Linked DNA regions of Saccharomyces cerevisiae S288C. The protein of the gene in region 1 interacts with the protein of each later gene in a biochemical or structural test. Each region holds a gene or a part of one and is shown in the gene's direction. Other genes may lie near its edges.

Region 1 (2,963 bases):
TGAATTAGCTTCAAATCTCTCATTGTTCGTTCCCAATTTGATTGCCATCTGTTCTCAGCTTCCTGCGTTACATTTTTCTTCAATTTTTGGTATAAATCAGCATCTTTCATAGCAAAAATCAGAGATTCATGAAGCTCCCTTCTATCAACAAATTTTAACCCATTTACATTGTGTTGTACTAATTCGTCAAGCACTGGATAGTTCATTGCAATAACAGGAAGACCTGAGCCAAACATATCTAAAATTTTCATTGGCAGGTCCAACCCTGAACTTGAAGTATGCAGGGAAACTCCGTAATCGCATAATTGTAATAACTTTGGGTAATCCTCTGCTGACAACCACACAAATTCGATTTGACAGCGCTTCCAGTCATATTCTTCTACTTGCTTCATATATTTCTCCTTTAGTGGTCCTTTACCCGTTATAAAACACAAGATCTTAGGCAAACTTGAATCAAATTTGACATAAGAGTTTTCGTAAATCTTTAGGGCACCTAATAAAATACCAATATCTTCATCAGGGGTGAATGATGTTGAAGTCACAATAATTTTATCGCCTTTTTCTGTATCAAAATCATCGCGAATATAATTCTTTATAAAGGCTTTGGTAGTTAGGGCTTTTTGACGAGAAATGTCACCTGCCAAAGGTTGAAATTGGGAAGCCGGGCGGTCGTAGAGAACAGCACATCTCTTTGGATTCAAGTGAAAGCTTTGAATTAAATATTTCCTCATTGCTTCAGTAACAGTCAAGTTATAATCAGCAAATTTGCTGAATATCATCTCTACCATGTAAGATATCAACACTAAAGGATGGTAAAAGTTTCCTTTAAATTTTAGTTGCAATATCGAATATGCTAGATTGTGCCAATCAATAATTAGTTTACAACCGGTCAACTTGTATAGCACAGCAATCGGAAGAATGGGTATGCTCGGTGGATTTTGAACTAGTATGTAATCGCTTCCTCTCAATTCCCAAAGTAATTTGAAAATACTTAAAACTTGAAAAAGCACCTTCTTTACCATAAATATAACTGATGTTCCGCCTCCCTTTCTTTTCAAGTTTGACATATGATGGACGGTGATATTTGGATCACTGGAAATAATTTTGGGTAGAGTGTCCTCCACATAACCGCATAGCTCGACTTGCCAACCTAACTTACTGAAACTTATAGCGTGATAGCATATCCTTGGAGAGTGTCCTACATCACCCAGCACAAATATGATGATCCTTTTTTTGGTCGACTTGTTGCCATAAAACAAGTAGGGTATAACATAATAAACCACTAACGGTATGGAAAGGTATAATATTATTAAGGCAAGTAACCACCGAGGAATTTCCAAAAACATTTTCACCAATTGACTATAGCCCCTAAAATGCCGTTACAATTACCCTCTAATGGCTTTGCTAATTGCTGATTGAAAGATATATGACCAATTAACTTGATGATTGCTATATGCGCGTTCTATTGAAGCAACGTGCAAGATGATCACTGCTTGGATTGACCTTGTTTTAGCAACAAGCCATACAAAGATATCAGACAGGAAAGTCACAGTCAAAGCATGCAAAAATCGACAAAGCAAACATAAGTAGAACCTGAGAACATCAACCATATGTCCTAATGAATTCAAGCACCCTCTTTTCCACCCAATTTGAGACATTTTCAAGATGTATTTATATTTTCGTGTACTGTGATATGACTTTATTCTTAGAATTTTTTATTGCCCGCGTAAGAAGGTGTTTAACAAGAGATCTTGTTAACTCACAAGGGTACTCTGACTGGATAGAAATCTTATTCTTGACCGGAAACTATCGAACTACAAAGAAAGAGCTTAGTTAATACAAATAAAAAAGTACAATGTCCTCCAATCTTACCGAAGAACAAATTGCTGAATTCAAAGAAGCCTTTGCCCTCTTTGATAAAGATAACAATGGCTCTATCTCATCAAGTGAATTGGCCACTGTGATGAGGTCATTGGGTCTTTCGCCCAGTGAAGCAGAAGTAAATGATTTGATGAACGAAATAGATGTTGATGGTAACCATCAAATCGAATTTAGTGAATTTTTGGCTCTGATGTCTCGTCAACTCAAATCAAATGACTCTGAACAAGAACTACTAGAAGCTTTTAAAGTATTCGATAAGAACGGTGATGGTTTAATCTCCGCCGCTGAGTTGAAACACGTGCTAACATCCATTGGTGAAAAATTGACTGATGCCGAAGTAGATGATATGCTAAGAGAGGTTAGTGATGGATCAGGCGAGATCAACATTCAACAATTCGCTGCTTTGTTATCTAAATAGGTGCATCCTTGTGATTTTTTGCTCCCGCTATCTTACCCTTACCATTCTGGTTTTATAGTATTCGTTGAGTATCGTTTCATCTAAAGTTTGACAACCACACGCAAATATATACTGTACGTAGACAGGGTTAATGTTATTTATGTAGATAAGTAATGTTCCTGAGAAGACAGTTTAAATAAAGGATACGGATTGTTTACCAAGGCGGATAACTAAATTTAGCCAGTATTAAGTTCAATGTTGCGTAGCTATTTCATTATTTTAATTTATGCAGTCTGTCATCTTCTTGAGGAACAACATTTCGTTTGTATCTTTCAAAAGGATTTAAGTTATCGTCAGCAGCAGAAATATCTCCCGAATAGGCCCTCTCCATTTCAATAGGTCTTGGTTCGAGCGATTTTAGTAATGGCTTTTTCTTTGGGACCACTGGTGGCTTTTTCTTCAGGTTATCATTCTTTTTTGGGACAACAGGCGGCACTTTCTTTGGACTAGACCTAGAAGGTGGAGGCCTTGGTGGAGTAATAGACCCCGATGCAGACACATATTTTTCATCTAGATCTGAGGGAACAGGGCTAGAGTCCTTCACTTTTTTCGAACCGCCTAACTTTTCCAAATTAACGTTTGTTTTTCTTAATTTGATATGCGACAACTCATTGGTAATGGAGTT
Region 2 (3,526 bases), on another chromosome or scaffold:
AACCGGAACGAATTTATTAGAAGCTCAAACACAAGGGTTGATAGTGTGATAAAGGAAAGGGGTGACAACGTGTAGAGGGTAAAACTTATTGATTCCTTTTTGTGGATTCCTATACCCTACAAGAACACTGTTGGATATAGACATTATATGCAATATTAATTATGCGACTGATAGGCTTCGTAATTCCTGCTTGAGTAAAGACAAGAATTTTCATTTCTCATTAACTGTTTTTATTTATAACCTAGGAAAAAAAGGAGCTGAAAATTTGTTGGAATAAAAATCCACTATCTTATATCAACTAGTATTCCTAATGTCAGTATATTGTCATATAAGGCGTTAGATGGTGACATAAGGTATGAAAAGTTGCCATCGAAGTTAGAGGAAGCTGAAATGCAAGCATTGATGTAATAGGATCAATGAATATTAACATATAAAACGATGATAATAATATTTATAGAATTGTGTAGAATTACAGATTCCCTTTTATGGATTCCTAAATCCTTGAGGAGAACTTCTAGTATATCTACATACCTAATATTATAGCCTTAATCACAATGGAATCCCAACAATTACATCAGAACCCACACTCTCTTCAATTATTATGTAGAAATTTCGATTCTATTTTGAGGATTCCTATACCCTCGAGTAGAAATTCTAGTATATCCTACATACCTAACATTATTGCTTTATCAATAATGGAATCCCAACAATTATTGTTACAGGCTACGATATTGCGTATAGAAAAAATGTTGAAAGTTCTTCTGCAAGATACAGGAATCCAAAGGGAATCAATATATCTACCTAATAGTATTATTATTTCTTTTCCATTTTATATGTTTCACTATCCTACTATTTCATCGATCCTCTTATTTAAGCTTTTATTAAACCTAATGACTGTTCTATAACTTTTATGTCCTCTTTTTACATCATAAATGATAATTAATATACTAGTGACATGAATACTAATCGATGGATGGTAGTTTGTTCTTATTCTATCAGGGAAATGCATCAGATAATGGATAAAATGGAAAGAATGGAAAGGAATTGTAACATGCCTATATATGGAAAACGAGCTTTTAGAGCTTTCAAGTTAACCCCGGGCGGTTAGTGTAGTGGTTATCATCCCACCCTTCCAAGGTGGGGACACGGGTTCGATTCTCGTACCGCTCAAGATTACTTTTTTAATTTTCATACTTTTTCTCCTAATATCTTGCAAATCATGACTGAATTGACATTAACTGATGCAAATGGGTGGGAAAAATGCTTATCAACCCCCTAAAAAGTCAACTTCTTCGTTAGTGATTGCTATATGTGGCGTCAAGAATTACAAGAAGCTGGCGAGCTTTCCAAGCCCCTTCAGGATTAACCGTTTTTTACCCTTTTTTTACAAATTTACGGCGGGGAATAATTCTGATACTTTCTCTTTATGAGCATTCCTCAACAGGGATCGGCACTCAATTGCTTTAGTGAATAGTTTTTTTTTACGCCAAGAACATTTACCACCCCATTTTCCTGTAGACGTCCAAAACGATACTCTACTTTAAGCCCTTTTTCTGAAGTTTTCATAAAATGTCCGATCTCCTAACGTCATTTTTAAAATCAAATGGTCTTTTAATAATTATGCACGTTAAAAAACATACATAATTGATAGTAAAGAATCTGGTATTCTATCAGTTACCAAGTTCAATCGTAAATTTTTTTACGAGCACTAATAGAAATGGATCATGAAATTGATTTTTTGATTTTCAATTTATGAACTACCCAGATATATAAATATTGGAATAAATTGTGTATTAAGTAGTCGGGAAATATCTTTTATGTTCTCTTTCTTATCATCTAGAAATAATAAATCACAACCAAAAAAATCAACTAACTATCAAAATGTCTGCTACCTCTACTGCTACTTCCACAAGTGCCTCTCAATTGCACTTAAACTCTACTCCAGTTACTCACTGCTTATCTGACATCGTTAAGAAAGAAGATTGGTCTGACTTTAAATTTGCTCCCATCCGCGAATCCACTGTCTCTCGTGCTATGACTTCTCGTTATTTCAAGGATCTTGACAAGTTTGCCGTTTCTGACGTGATTATTGTCGGTGCGGGCTCTTCAGGTTTATCCGCCGCTTACGTCATCGCCAAGAACAGACCAGACTTGAAGGTTTGTATTATCGAAAGTTCAGTTGCACCAGGTGGTGGTAGTTGGTTGGGTGGTCAATTATTTAGTGCCATGGTTATGAGAAAACCAGCTCATTTGTTCTTACAAGAGTTGGAAATCCCTTACGAAGACGAAGGTGACTATGTTGTCGTTAAGCATGCCGCTTTGTTCATCTCTACTGTCCTTTCAAAGGTCTTGCAATTACCAAATGTTAAACTGTTCAATGCTACCTGTGTTGAAGATTTGGTTACCAGACCACCTACCGAAAAGGGCGAAGTCACCGTTGCTGGTGTTGTCACCAACTGGACGTTAGTTACCCAAGCTCACGGTACTCAATGTTGCATGGACCCTAACGTAATTGAATTGGCAGGTTACAAAAATGACGGAACTCGTGACTTGAGTCAAAAGCATGGTGTCATTTTATCCACTACCGGTCATGATGGTCCATTTGGTGCTTTCTGCGCCAAGAGAATCGTCGACATTGATCAAAACCAAAAATTGGGCGGTATGAAGGGTCTGGACATGAACCATGCCGAACACGATGTCGTTATTCACTCTGGTGCATACGCCGGTGTTGACAACATGTACTTTGCTGGTATGGAAGTTGCTGAACTGGATGGATTAAACCGTATGGGTCCAACTTTTGGAGCTATGGCTTTGAGTGGTGTTCATGCTGCTGAGCAAATTTTGAAACACTTTGCTGCTTAGGCTTTTAATGAGGTATGCTTTTAAAGATTTATATATTTTTTATACACGCTATATACACAATTTTCGCTGATGATTTTGTTTTATTATTGATTTTTAAATTAACCGTAGAAAATACTAAGTGGAAAGATCCGATAGTGATGAGATAAGACTTTTAGTTATCTCTGTAATGGTGAGTTTTCGCACATCTTGCAATATTAAAAATATAAATCAATTCTTCAAATGTCACTTCATGGTCGGGTAACCAAATATGATCTTAAAAAAAATTAAGAAAAAAAAAAATTGAAAATTTTGAGCTAAGCTCATCTCATCTCATCGGCTGTAATCAGTAACACATCATTTATTACATCAGTTACAGGTATCAACATATATCTTCAAAAAGGGGACATTATGGTTTTGAAATCTACTTCCGCAAATGATGTTTCAGTATATCAGGTTTCTGGTACAAACGTTTCAAGATCACTTCCAGACTGGATTGCGAAAAAGCGCAAAAGGCAATTAAAGAATGATTTAGAATATCAAAATAGAGTAGAACTGATTCAAGATTTTGAATTTAGCGAAGCCTCCAATAAGATTAAAGTGAGTAGAGATGGGCAATATTGCATGGCTACCGGTACATACAAACCTCAGATCCATGTCTACGATTTTGCTAATTTGTCACTGAAGT

The links. Proteins that work in one complex are often made in the same cells at the same time.
Region 2: the proteins of CMD1 (region 1) and THI4 form a complex in vitro, tested with the Saccharomyces cerevisiae proteins (one study listed by BioGRID).

The regions. Positions count from the first base shown.
Region 1 is NC_001134.8:457,255-460,217, reverse strand, and holds CMD1 (calmodulin), read left to right. Parts: upstream 1-1,855; coding exon 1,856-2,299; downstream 2,300-2,963. Other genes in the region: ALG1 (chitobiosyldiphosphodolichol beta-1,4 mannosyltransferase), read right to left, coding at 1-1,346; AIM3 (Aim3p), read right to left, coding at 2,553-2,963.
Region 2 is NC_001139.9:778,518-782,043, forward strand, and holds THI4 (thiamine thiazole synthase), read left to right. Parts: upstream 1-1,881; coding exon 1,882-2,862; downstream 2,863-3,526. Other genes in the region: ribosome biosynthesis protein ENP2, read left to right, coding at 3,250-3,526.